Coturnix japonica: one gene and its partner. The protein of the gene in region 1 interacts with the protein of each later gene in a biochemical or structural test. Links are inferred from orthologs where the notes say so. Each region holds a gene or a part of one and is shown in the gene's direction. Other genes may lie near its edges.

Evidence for each region. The genes of interacting proteins can lie anywhere in the genome.
Region 2: of the proteins of CASP7 (region 1) and PANX1, one has a biochemical effect on the other in vitro, tested with the Homo sapiens proteins (2 studies listed by IntAct). The link is inferred for Coturnix japonica from reciprocal best matches to the Homo sapiens genes CASP7 and PANX1.

Annotation. Positions count from the first base shown.
Region 1 is NC_029521.1:24,419,257-24,427,038, forward strand, and holds the end of CASP7 (caspase-7), read left to right. Parts: intron 1-1,077; exon of another isoform or gene 1,078-1,245; intron 1,246-1,381; coding exon 1,382-1,530; intron 1,531-2,476; coding exon 2,477-2,605; intron 2,606-3,073; coding exon 3,074-3,249; intron 3,250-3,492; exon of another isoform or gene 3,493-3,527; coding exon 3,528-3,666; intron 3,667-4,389; coding exon 4,390-4,613; 3' UTR 4,614-6,017; downstream 6,018-7,782. UniProt on the Homo sapiens protein: Thiol protease involved in different programmed cell death processes, such as apoptosis, pyroptosis or granzyme-mediated programmed cell death, by proteolytically cleaving target proteins.
Region 2 is NC_029516.1:166,061,682-166,068,447, reverse strand, and holds part of PANX1 (pannexin-1), read left to right. Parts: intron 1-4,082; coding exon 4,083-4,222; intron 4,223-6,766. UniProt on the Homo sapiens protein: Ion channel involved in a variety of physiological functions such as blood pressure regulation, apoptotic cell clearance and oogenesis.

The DNA of each region.
Region 1 (7,782 bases):
GCATTTGAACATGATGAATCATCTAGAGATGCTTTATTATGGTTTCCAGTTAGTCTTGCCCTTTAGTAATGAAAAATAGGACACTTGGAGACTCCAACAATTGCTAGAGAACAACAATTGTTAAGTCAGGAAGATAAGAAAGTACATTTCCTAAACAACATTTAATCAATCCACAGCAATCTCATCTGTGAGGACTATTAGTGAAGCAAAAAGCTTGGTAATTTTCTAGAAAGATGTCAAAGTGGGAACAGTGAAAGTACTTCATTGACATTAATGGTACAAATCTAATTTTGTTAAAATGTTGCAGTACTGCTAGTTGTGCTGAGAAAATAGGTTATGTTTTCCTCTTATACTTCAGCAATGAGTACTACTGGAAGCAAGATGCTGATACCTTCTGCTCTTTCCCAAGTATTGTTTCTAAGCAGGCCTGCTCCAAGGCTTGCTTGTATTTCTGAAGTTTCATCAGAGCCTTTGAAGGCTTTCACTGGCTTCAGTTCTGCTTGTAGAGATCATCTCAATGTCAAAAATCACTTGGCTGGACAAAAAAGTCCACCTCTAAAAGCAAGCACTGCTGAGTTCCTCATGCTTGTACCTCAGATGTGCATGCTGGTTATCACAGATTCATTCTATAGTATTTAATTTAGAATAAATTTCTGGGTAAAGTCCATGCTGTATCTCACCATCTTTTTCTAATTCAATCTAAGACTCCATCACAAAGCAGAAAAATCACTGCACAGTTATACTAATGGAGAATGTCTATAGGATTTTCTTGTTTGTTTATAATGAGGTTGAGATAGTGATGACGTCACACTGAATGGCACTTAGTTTTTAGCATAGCTTCAAACTATCGATTGACAAACCACGCTAACAAATGAGCTGTCAATATCTATAACCTTTATCAGTACAAAATACCTACTGCTCTTTATCACTTTCAGAGAATTTAGGGATGATTCAATAAACAGATCCCATTATGCCACATAGTAAATTGTATCTGCTTGTAATGCTTGCAGTAGTCATTAAGGAAGATCTGTCTGGGCTTACATGAATCACTTACAGTAAAATTAAAATAGTACTTACATTTAGAACCATAGTTTGCAAAAGACTGCTGCCAGCCTGATATTTGGTCATGGTCTGTACGCATTGCAGTTGATTGCAGCTCACTCAAGAGTGATTTTACCATCATCAGTATCCAAATACTGCACGGAAATCATGAGACTTAAGCCATGAGTTAATATCTCTACATCTCTGTATGAAATACAAAGAAAAAAAAATATAAGAGAAATAAAAACATCAGGTAGTGCTGCCCCAATGGTATGAGTTAGAATAAATAAGCACATTCACATGACAGGTCATTAACAGTGTTTTCATTTGATTCACACAGGAAAAAGAAGAATGGAGAAGAAGAACAACCAAAGTCCACCCTCAGTAACCAGTACCGAATTGTTACACCCACATTCCAGTATAATATGAACTACAAGAAGGTTGGCAAATGTATAATTATAAACAACAAAAATTTTGAAGACAAAACAGGTAACGTTCTTTGTCTTACTTGAGAAGGGAGGTTGGACCACACGACCTCCAGAGGTCCTTTCCAACCTAAACCATTCTTCGATTCTGTGATTCAGTGACACTTATTGCAGATACTTTCATTAATCAATAAACCTGTTATTTTTAGGACATGGAATTTTAATGACTATATTCACTTTATTTGATAAGCAGTTGTTCATACTGTTTGTTCCTGTTCTTTAATCCTTATATTAGAGTAGCTCTTTACAGCTCCTTTGCAGTAGGTGGTTAAAAAAAGTACATCAGCTTGTTCTGCCAACTTTTAACTCAACTTCTGTCCTAGAATTTAAGTCTGCATTGTTAAAACCTGAACTTTGGTATCTGCAGCCCATGTTATGAATTCTCTGTCTCTGAGCTGCACCTAAAAGCTATAGTTGCACTACAATAACAATTGCTGTGCTCTGTTCACAATCCAATGTCAGATGCACGTTCCAGATTGTGTACAGTGTTTTGAAGCAGACAGATATCTGTGATATAGCCAACTTTGTAGACTTTTTTTACCCTCTACAAGCTGGGCTTACAAATTAAATGAAGTGCTTATTCCAAAGAATTTACGTCAATTTTCTTTATTAGGGTATCATGGGGAATTGTTTTGAATAATTATTCCTTGAAGAGCTTTGTGCATATGTTACTCTGCATAACCAAAAGGAGATAGAATTTTCCACAGAGGTCCCATGTTGGATATAAACCAGCATTTTCCAGCATAAAATACATGTTCACATTGGACCTTGCATTACTTTGCATTAAAACAAAACACAGTTTGTTCAGAATGCCAAGGATATTGTCAGAGGATTGTTTTAAACTCATGTCTCATTGTAAATAAGTTAAGAACCTAAAAGTTGCCTTTGGACATATAAATTATTTTAAGTCATGTAACATGCAATCAACTGTACTATTTCTTTTCTGGTAGGAATGGGTATACGCAATGGTACTGATAAAGATGCTGGAGATCTCTCTAAGAGTTTCAGAAGCTTAGGTTTTGATGTTCACACATACAATGACCGAAGCTGTGAGGATATGAAAACATTACTGAAACAAGGTAAAAATTTAGAATAGAATAATCTATTGTGTAAAGGACCTCTGGAGGTCACCTAAGCAATGCTCTGCACAGAGCAGGTCAGATTAGAACAGAGTGCTTAGGCCCCATGAAATGGAATTTTCTCTAGAGAAAGATTCAATTTCTGAACAGATTATCCTTAATTCCCACAACTCTTCCTCCTCCTGTGTAAATTCAGAAATGTATAGTTTTCTTGTCACAGTAGATGACAAATCTACTAAAATAACTGCATGTAGTTAAGAGTTCAGCTTATTGAATCAAGCAGGTCGAACTCTATGTTCATTTATTCAAGGTATTCATCACATTCTTAATAAGTGGATTTATCTACTCCATTTTATAACTTCCAGTAGAGGCCCAGTGTTTATTTAGTCTCAGAAAGATGTGTTTGATAAATATTATGTTCCATTTAAAATGTTGCCTCCTTTTGGCTAAAAATTATTTGATTTGTAGCTGCTGAAGAGAATCACAGTGATGCTGCTTGTTTTGCCTGTATCCTTCTAAGCCATGGGGAAGAAGGCCTCATTTATGGCACCGATGGACCTATGGCTATCAAACACCTGACTGTACTCTTCAGAGGAGACAAATGTAAAAGCCTTATAGGCAAACCCAAATTGTTTTTCATTCAGGTAAATATTATATCCTTCTTCTGCAGTGGGGAAAATGTTATGGCACTTATGTGGTTGTCTGTAGCTTCAAAAGTGGATAAAGGCTCTGTCTCCAAATTACTGCATTCTGCTAAATTCTTTAGTCTCCCTGAGTAGCCTTGCTTTCTACTTTATTGCCTCTCGTTCATACAAAGTATTGCTAAAAATTGCATCCATTAAAAAATTTTATAAAAAAACTTTATAAAACACTTCATTTCTCCTTACTGGTCAAGTTGTCTTCATCTTCACTGCTGTTTCAGGCGTGCCGAGGCTCTGAGTTTGATGAAGGTATACAAACTGACTCTGGACCTGCAAATGACACTCTGGAAACAGATGCCAATCCTAGATACAAAATCCCAGTAGAAGCAGATTTTCTGTTTGCATATTCCACAGTGCCAGGTAATAAATAAATAAATAAATAAATAAATAAATGAATAAATGAATAAATAAATAAATAAATGGGGGAGTAGTAGAGGCAAGAAGCTTAATAATTTATCCTATCTTCAGTTGCCAATCAACATTTTTCATCTATAATAGTTACTCCGATAAAACATGTTATCTTTATAGAACTGGCTGTTTCTCTTATGCATCACAGCTGCAGTAGTACAACCACTAGTGTCCTAGACTGACCCTCACTGATGGACAAAATGCTAAGGCATGGTGTATGCTTGGCCATTTTGTTCCATCCACTACTTTTACAAGAGCTGAAATGGGAGGAAGCCCAAATCTGGCAGATGACAAAGCACAGGCATTACAGATGGCAGAGGAAGGTGATACCAGCCTTTGATAGGCTAGTTTAGTTACTATGTGGAACTTAAATACAAGAAAAGGATGGGCTATACCATGAACTTTTGCAAAAATAAGCTCTATGAAAAAAATAGAGAATGCTACCTCAGTATGCTGAAGGTTGGAGAGGTCATACATGTTATTTTCCTTGTCAGTGAAGCAAGATTTGTGACAGGAGTAACAAGAATTGAAGTTTTTGTGTGCAGTTACTGCTTGTCCAGAATCTTTCACACAAACTCCTACACTTCTCTCTAATGTTCCATTGTTCAGCACAAAGTCATAAGAAGGAAGAGGGAAAAAAAAACGTTTTTTTTTTTTAAATCTCTTCCCTGTAAGGTTATTATTCCTGGAGGAATCCTGGAAGAGGCTCTTGGTTTGTGCAGTCTTTGTGCTCTGTGCTCAATGAACATGGAAAACAACTTGAGATCATGCAGATCCTCACACGGGTCAACTATGTGGTTGCCACGAATTTTGAATCACAGTCTGATGATCCACGCTTCAGTGAGAAGAAGCAGATTCCTTGCGTAGTCTCTATGCTCACTAAGGAACTTTACTTCTGAAAGCATATTTTAATACAGCCAGTAATGTGAGATCAGGATAAATTTTGGGGTGAACATTTGATTATAAATTGCAGTAACACAATTTGTAATAACAGAAATGTTGATACTAGATATACATGTTGTATAAGCTGGGGTAACTGACAAATGGACAATATGCAATATTTTTAAGACCATCTAAATGCTGTGGATCAATCCTAGAGCTGATTTCTCATTTGTATTAGAATCATAGAACTCCATGATTCTATTACAAATAATTTTGATTTCTCTTAGTGTAGCTGTCTTGATTTATGGGTGTTGAAGATGTTCTGAGAGTCAGTTACCTGACCCAAAAGGTTTATTCCAAAAAAACAGGATGTAAAATCTGTAAAGAAAAAACCATATCAAGGAAACTCCATCTTTTCTTTCACTACAATCTCATGGTATTGTAACTTCCTTGGAAATTTCTAAAGTCCATCATACAACCAATATGTCCAGAGATGAAACTGACATTGTAGCTATTTAAAAGGGTACTTCTTAGTATAATAAATCTATTTCCATTTTAGAACACTCTTAATGAAGAAAAATGGATGCACTGTGTTTAATCTGGAAGTCAATTTAGTTATCATTCTAGCATAAGGTTAATTTTATTAGCAGGTGATTCAGCTGAATGGTATGGAAATGTATCAAATAGAAAGATTTTCATTTTGGTTTTTCTAAAAGTGGGCAAACTAATTAGATAATACCTTATTAAAATAACATTATGAAGATTTTTGCCTTGTAAATGACAGCTGAGAACTGCCCAACACAGTAGTAGTGCAGTTTCTCTGCTTGCAGAAATACGAATGCTTGCATGTTGATTCATAAGTTTTGAGCCCACAAAAAGTTAATGTCTAACTTTTGTTATTAAACATTAAAATTTAACACCGAAACAACAGAATTATGTATTTCAGTAAGAAATACACGTTTAGATTTTACTTCTATCCGTGAGGAATTTCACCAAGACCAGAAATACTTCCTTGAATCAGAAACCAGAAGTGCCTTTTTAGTTAAAATATTGTCTTGATTTTGTATTTTGGAGTTATGTCAGTGATGCTTATATTTCTACTTTTTATATTCTTTTTAAATATGATAGCTAGCTCAAAAAAGTAATTTTTATGATTTGATTAGACTGGTAAATGATTGGTAAATAACTGGTAAATGGGGTTATTCACCCCTTTCCTAGTTAATGTACACTTTATTTTTTTAAATCTAAGAAAACGGGTGTGTGCTGAGTTGTCTCTTTATTGATTATATTTTCTTACAGGAAATGTAGCATAGTAAGGCATATCTTTTTCATAAGTCAAATTTTTTTGAATTAAATAAATTATTGTTTTGTGGAAGTCTTGAACATAATATCAATAAAGACCTGTTTTTTTAAATTTCCTATGAACATCTGCCTGTTTGTCATTTGATCTGAAGTGAAAACCAACCAAAATGCATCCCAAAACTTTTCTCAGCCTCAAATGCAGTTGGTCTTTTGCATCCTTATCCTGATGAGATTTCCTTTGTCATTTGGGAAGCTGGCATTTGATCACATGGGTTAAGTGGGCCAGATCTTTTCATAGAGTAATCCAGAATTATTGAAAAGATTTAAATGGAAATCTCCTGACTTGCCAGCCCTTAATCTTGTCCAGTGCAAAACATGTTTGTAAACATTACACTGTACAGTGCTCTAGCAGTTCATATGAAAATATTCTTATTAATTCCTGCAAATAGCTCTATCTTAAACTATTTTCTAGCACTGGAGAATTACCAGAAATGTTTTACCATGAGAAATTTATCAATTCAACATTTCCAGTATTGAGCTCTTACATTTTACTGCAGTTCATTTGTAGATTTTTACTAAACTAATTCTGCTAAGAAAGTTACACTGGCATCGAAATCACCCTTTCATTCAGGCATGTTGTGGTTCTGAAGCCACAAAACCTTGGGAACAAAAAGGGAGCAAATAAGAGTTCCAAAACAGAGCACTTGAGGTTTATGAAATAATACCAAGAAATATAACAGTATAACAGTTAAGGAGCAGGCTTCTTCTCCATGCGGTTCTTTATTCATAAAGGTTGTTTGAGAACAATCTTGAATTATTAAAAAAAACTATTACCAATCTATCTTTACTTAGAAGTACTGCAAAAATGTAGACATGGCCAACTTCTGTCAAGTGTAGCAAAAGGCCTTCAGCATCATTCAGAATTGCTTGCAATTAAGATGGATCATTAAATACCTTTGTCCCATTGCCAGGGTTCATGTGCATCTCACCACGCTGTAGCTGCCTCACAAATAGTCCCTGGTTCAGCTTTGGCTGGTGAGGTTCCCTGTGAGCAGTGACAAGGAATAAGAAGTGGTTAGCATTGGTTAGTTTACTCTAGCAGTAGGAAAAGCTTCTTTCCCCAATTTGATGTGATGTCTTAAAAAAGGGTGGACAGAGCAGGTCTTTACCAGATCTTGTTGTACATTTACTCTTATGGACACTAAATATGGACAGCTTGGGAATTTCCAACTAACAAGTGAAGCAGTAGCTGTATCCATAAGAAGAAAGGCAAAACAGTAATGTTATCTGAAGCTCTCTAATGCAGCATGCAAATCGGTACTATCAGCTTTTAAGAGATCTCTCCTGGTAGACCAAAGGTTTCCTGGAAAAAAAGAAATGCTAACATAGAACAAAGGAGCACAGCAATTCTATATCTGATTTACAGAAAAGGGAAGAAATAAAGGCTGAATCTTAAGCAACTCCCAGGCTTGTCCAGTACGTGAAGTATACAAAGACCAGGCATAAAATACATGAAGACACTGCCAGAGAGGAAAGCAACTTGGAAAGATATCTTTGAGAGAAAAACATTATTCCCTTGTGTAGGGGCCCACGTCTCTGCTAGATGGAGCATTACTTTAGATCATGTCCAAGAAGCATTAATATTATTTAGCCTGCAGGAACACCTTCAGAATAAGGAAGCCTGACCCTGTGACTTGAGCAATGCCAGATGACTGAATTGTGACTTATAAGCTTCAGGGCATTTCAGTTTATTTCCCATTCAAATTTAAAAATCTTTTTCGTCTAAAAGCATTTCTGTTATAGCAGGAATAGCTGAACAGCTAAAAATCATTCTCATTAATGACATGCTGGATGTCTCTGGAGAGAATGCACAAAGTCTCCTAT
Region 2 (6,766 bases), on another chromosome or scaffold:
CATAACAAACCCCTTGGAAAGCTTTCCAGGACCAGGAAATCATCGTGTGCTAAGTAAAGACACTTAAGAAACTTGGGTATTACCAACATGAAGGTTTAGGTAGCACTATGAGCTTATCAGTTGTGACAGGTTGGGAAGTGCCTGACCACAGACCAGCCCACAGCAATGATATGTGTCTGTTAAAATGAGAGTTTGTAGCATTGAATGAGTATTATTGTGTCTAATGATCTCGGGTTGCCCCTACTTTGCTGTGCTGGAGGTGCCCATAGGTGGGAGGCCCTACCTTGTGCCATGCATACCATGGGATTAATGTTCCCAGTGACCGTCTTGGGTTTTCCAGCTGGTGACAAAATTCTGGGCACCGGTCAAAACCCACGAGGGCCATTCCCCCTTGTCCCATCACTATCAGACTGTGCAAAAAGTTGGTCTCCCTCCTGTTTATAGGATCCCTTCAGGTACCAGAAGGCTTCAGTAGGTTCCCCAAAACCTTCTTTTCCCCAGGCTGAACAAGCCCAGCTCCCTCAGCCTTTCTTCACTGAGAAGGTGCTCCAGTTCTCTGGGCATCTCTGTGGCCTCTTCTGGATCCGCTCCAACACCTTCACATCCTTCTTGTATTGGGGCCAGTGCAATACTCCAGATGGGGCCTCAGAAAAGCAGAGTAGAGAGGAACAATCTCCATTGCCCTGCTGGCCTCTGTTGGTGCAGCCCAGGATATAGTGGGTCTTCCAGGCCACAGGTACTCACTGCTGGCTCATGTCACCCTGGATGTTCCAGCGATTTGCTGATCATGGCATTTCCATGGCAGCACATGCCGTGCTACTCTTTGGCACATGAAGAGCCCTCAAGTGTAGATCTGAAGTTACTGCTGTCAGGGACAGGCCAGCACCAAGAGCTTCCAACCCAAACCTGTAGCAACATTTGCTTCATTGACGAGTCCAAATTGTCTTTGGGTGAACATCTTCATCTGTCAGCAAGGAGAATCTTTTCTGCTCAGCTTTTACAGAACCAGCCTTTCATTTCCTACAGAAATGATGGAAAGCTGTTTTGGGGACCAGAACTTGTTTTAAAGCACCGTGGCCCTCTGATATTGCTGGAGGATTGGGGTAGCAGTAGAGTAGCAGTGGAACAAAGGTTCGTGCAACAGCTCTGAGATGTTTCTCTTTCTTTGTATCTCATTGGTGGGAATTTCAGTCTGAAATTGTGTTTTTTCTCCGCATTATTAAACAAAACTTGTCACACTAAAGGCCTTCCTGGTCTCCATGTATCTCCCTCCAAGATTCCTTCTTGAACACAGTGACTCCTTCACCCAGGTGCCACTTTGGTCCATAGGAGGCATCTATAAATCTAATAAACACATTCCTTCTGGTCTGCTCTTAATACATGCATGCACACCCACACATCCAGTTTCTTCTCCTTTGGCATGCATCAGAACATCATTTCTTGTATTTTTAAGTGTGAGGTTGTTTGTTGTGTTTTAATACTGGTGTGAAGAGTGTGTGTTGGATGGTGCCTGGCAGTCTGTTCATTGTGTACACGCTGCTTGATTTTCCTGTTTGTGGTTGCTAATGTTGCTAATTCTTGCTGGATAAACTCAGGTATTTGAATATCATGGCTGGTTCATTTTCCCAGTTCGACATTATGGTAGTAATTAATGGCTGGGTTTTCATCTGAGCCTCTGCAAATCTCTTCCCAGTGATTGCGGTGCAGTAGGAAGCAATAATTACTCACTGAATCTATTTAACTGCAAACCGTCTGACCTCAGTTCAGGAAAAACATTTCAGTGTGTGGTTAACATTGATTCTTGGTAGCACTCTCTTTTAGTTTAGTTTCTTAATTAGATGCCTTGGTGGTAAGAGATGTGTTGGGCTGCTGGGGACAAAACCAGTGCTTCCTGCTGGTACCCACCTTGGTGAGGGATGAGGCACAGCCTGGGTGCCTTTGTGCCCCTTTGGAGGGGAGAAGGAAGGGAAAAAAGGCTGTAAAATCATGATGACTTTCAGATGCATTGAGTAATCTGTGTGCAGTGGAGATAATGCACAAAGATGTAATCTCTTTGCACCACGGTTAGTGCAAAGGTGTACTTACATTAACAGGACAGCACTAAGTTAATGAGACAGCAGGGTGGTAACTGGAGAGTCCCCATCTCCTGCTGCTGTCTGTCTCTGGGCTGCTGGATGAAGGTCTGAAGGTTCCAAAGTCCATGCTGAAGTGCTGGGGATCTGAAGAGCTGAGCTTGCTGCCCTGGGATTGCTGCGCTTTCTCTGGTAGGAAGCTGTGCCTGCACCACCTTGGAGGCTGCCTTGTGTATCACTGATTTAAGGGCTCTCTCACTTTCAGTGATTTCCCACCCATTCATGAGAATGAACACATTGCATGTCATTCTTCTTGCAGATGCACAGACACAGCCAGGACAAAGCATCTTGCTGAACACTTCTGTTGCTTGCCCCATGAAAGGGCCACTTGTTTCCTGCTGCATTCAGGGCACAGCCAGCAGCAGGGGGTTTGTTAGGGAAAGCAGGGCATAAATGGACCCCATCAAGAACAGAGACACTCCAGTTGCATCCTTCTGCAGGCTATTTCTTTCACAGATAATGGGGATTCTCTGCAAAGCAGGAACTTCTGAAGCTTTGGGAGAGTGCAGGAGCTCATCTTGTGCCAAGTTAGTTAAACCACGTGAGCTCTGGGCTGATAAACAGCAACTTGTTTTCCATAAGGGAGGCTTGTGACAGATCAGACCCCATCATTATGATACTACAGCCTCAGAAATAATTGCCATAGTGAGTCATAAGGAAAAGCTTTCATTTATAATGCCCCTAAACTGTGCTACATTGTAAAAAGGCTGTACAAGTTACAAGGCTAATGCAGTCATCTTCTGTTACAGAAGCAGTTCTTATTCTCTAGGGGCTAAAGTAGCAAAGGGGCACAAGAATCTTATACAGAAACATACTCTCATAAAGCATAAAGTGATGCCGTCCAGCACTAACTTTGGGAAAAGGAAAGAAAAAAGTAGCAGTATTTCCCTGTTTTGCTCTTTTGACATTTATATTGTGTTGGAGGAAGCGTCGGAGGCTGTTCTTGGCATAGAGTTCCTCAAGGAAGGGCCATCTCCACTCTGTGTAATCATCTGGTGAAACAGCTGTAGTGTTTCAGCATCTAGGGAAGCCCACTGGAAACTTTACATTTTGTTATGGCTGTCAGAGCTTCCAAAGGGAAAACAGAACACTCATGCTGTGTTACTGGCTCTCACCTACGGGGCCACTGATGCTACATATCAACTAAACACCCTTCCTCCTTGATATATGTTTCAGGAAGACTTAGCTGCTGCCTGTAAGCTGGTCAGTGCAGAATTTAACCCTAAGGCTGAGGCTGTTCCTGTTGCCACTTAGTGCCTCGATCTTACATTCAATTGCCAGAGCAGCTGGAGAAGTGCTGGGAGTGAGTGGAGATGGCTGTGCTGTACCTGGCCTTGGTCAAAGCATGACCCTGTGCTGATGAAAATGAACCTGGAGACCCTTGGAAGAGCCTGGGGGCCACTCCTGCTCTGCCAGGAGTTACAGCAGGGCTGACCTGAACCCAAAGTCAAAACTCATGCTCAGAGGCAGAATAAGTGTGGGACACACCTGCCTTTGCATTACTGCACAGACTGCAGGGCTGGGGTAGTGATGTTTGAGGTTTTCTTTCAATACATGTGAGGGGTGAGCACGTGGGATTGAGGTGCTATGCTGTGGTAGCTGCTTCCTTGAGAAACCAGCTTTATCTGTTCACACTTTTCATCTGTTGGCTCTCCTTTGGCCAGTATGAGGATAAGGGATCTGGGAGGTAGCAGTCTTTCCCCCAGAATTATGAAAGTAGATCTAGAAGATGTTTCTAGTGTCTGTCTCAACCTTTAGGGGACATCAGAGGGTCCCAGTGGGAGTTCTGGGTGCAGTTCTGTGGGAATTTGGTGATTCTCAGAGCTGCTCTGCTTCCTTCTCTCAGTGTAATAGCATTGGATGCAGCAAAATCACAAGTGTGAGCTTTTTCTTCTAGGTTTGATTTCTTTCATTTTTTGAGTGCGTGATCCCTTCTGCTTTGTTTTCCAGGTGCCCAGATAAGCTGCTTTGCCCCCAGCTCCTTCTCCTGGCGCCAGGCTGCCTACGTGGATTCCTATTGCTGGGCAGCAGTGCAGCAGAAGCAGCCAGCCTACAACAACCTGGAGAACATTCCCCTCTGGCTCCATAAAGTACGTACACAGGTCTCCTCACAGAAACACTGACCACATGTAGAATCCTGCCTTTACATTCCCCTTCTCATTCTTCCTCTTTTGCCTAAAGAAGCTGTGGATGCCCCATCCCTGGAGATGCTAAACGCCAGATTGGATGGGACTCTGGATAAAGTGATATAGTAGAAGGTGTCCCTGTCCTGGCAGGGTTTTGGAACTGGATGATTTATAATGTCCCTTCCAACCCAAACCATTCTATGGATTCCATGATTCTTCTCTGCTGTTATCCCTGGCTTTGACTTGACTTACTGTTTTTTAGAGAGAATGTTTTCTTTTTCTTACATCCGAAGGGGTAGAGCTGGAATAGACATTTTGTGCTTATAAACAAAGGATCTGTTTGCTAGAATAACAAATGTCCCCAGTTATCTGACAAAAGAGTAATGTTGATGTGTTGCCCTGGAGATTGGTGCCCAACATGTCTTTAAAGAACAACTACTTTAACTCAGGATGCAAAACAGAGCAGCTGACTTAACACTGTATCAAAGCCTTAATTTCGGAAAGCAGGATAGTAAAAACATTTGATATTTTTATTGTATTATACTTGGCCAGCTGGAGAAAGTTGGACTCAGGGCAGATATGGGAGAGGTGAAGTGTATAATGGACAGCAGCATGTTTCAGTCTGCTTTTTCAGGTTGTTCCCATTGAGCCTTTCATTGCTGCAAGCAAAGCAGCATCACTGACTGCTCAGATAAGTGGGTTCTGAGATACCTGAGATGGCTCAAAGGGGTCAGCTTAGTTTTGATTTGGGTTGCAGATTCTGATTTAAATGCTTGGGCAGTGCTGATGATGAAGTCAGAAACGCTGCAGGAGCTCTGTGGTTGTGTGGGTTTTGTTGTGTGCTGCCCTTTTATTACCTTGCCCTTTTATTACATGTTCAAGCCACAGCTTTGTGTCCCAGCAAATAACCTTAGTGGCCATAGGGTGAGGACCTGGTGTTAGAGGCAGTTTGGCTCTGGCACCTGCAGTGCCTGTTCTTCTGCGTTCTGCTGGCACATCCAGTGCCTCAGCTTTTATTGTCCAGTCAGCTGGTTGGATCTCCTTGGGCAGACTGTTCTGATTCAATTCTTGCCCCAGAGCCCTGGCTGTAAGGGTTTACTACTGCCTTCCCCAATGATTTCCACTCATAACTTGGACCTAGAGGACCTTCATTTCATGAATGTTAAAGCCAGAGTTGTTGGCTTCCAACCTGAACTTGTCGTTGCTCAGTGAGTGTCCTAGCTCACTCTAGCCAGGCCTGCAGAGACTGAAGCTGCTGGGACGTCAGTCTGCTTGGGCAGGTGGGGCCTCAACCTGCAGAGCTGGACGCCTTGCTCCCTCCCTCTGTCAAGGAAATGCCTTCTTGTTACCTTCTCTCTTTTAGTTGAACTTTATGCTACAGTTGATAGCTGGCAATTGCAGCAGTAAGTCTCTTAGTTTGCCAGCTATGGCATAAGCCATGTGTCATACTGACATGACACAGACCATGTTAATTTGCTGACTGGTGATGTCTCAGGAATCTCTGCGCGGCTCTTATTGCCACAGTTCTTCTGTGGCAGATGGTGTGTGATGTTTCCTTGGGAAACCCTGCAGGCTGGCAGTGAGCAGTGAGTCCAAACAGATGAGTCACAGCTTGTAACTGGGCTGGGATGCCTGGGCCTGACCTCTGCACCCATGCTTGGCCCCCAGCCCTGCCACTGAGCCAGCTGTCAGAACTGCACATGCTGCTTGGAGGCCAGCCAGTGGGATGGGATGGGATGGAAGGGAATGGAATGGAAGGGAATGGCTCATTGGAAAGACCTACAGAGACCATTAAGTCCAGTTGCCTGACAACTTCAGAGTCAACAAAAAGTTAAAGCATATTATTGAGGGTGTTATCTCTCAAGTGATGCTAAAGGATACAGCAGAGGTGACCTGCTGTTGCCACTGCTGAAATGCACCACCCACTGCCTCACTGTGCTCACATTCACTGCTGTGCCTCCAAAAAGTTTCAGCCAGCATCCATAAATGTCAGTGGGGGCACTTCTTTCTGCATGGGGGAATTCAGTGACACACCTTTGCTTCATCCTCACTTCCATGTCAGGCATTTTTTGTCACACTACCCCCCTGTTGCCATCTGTCACGCAGCAACAAAATATAATGGGATATTGATGGGAAGGTTCAGCCTCTACTGCCATCCCACCAACACCCATCTTTGTAGTCATGGGCGGAGTAATAAAAGAAGAGGCAGCCCTCATCTTCACTCCCTTTATGCAGTTTGCTTCTCATCTCTGAAGATGTTGGTCTGTTTTGGTAGCACATAACTTTGTTTTGAACTAGAATGGAAACAAGCTTTTGGCCACCATGAGTGCCAGTCTAGTCAAGGAGAAGACTGTACTGTAAAGCCTTTTAATCCATCATACACAGAGAGGTTTATACAGGTACAAACAGGAGACCAAAGAGCATTATCTTAGTGGCTCTTGGTAGGCACCAAACATAGCAACCAAGCAAGGTGTGGGGCAAGTAGTAGAACTGAGATGTACTGTGGAC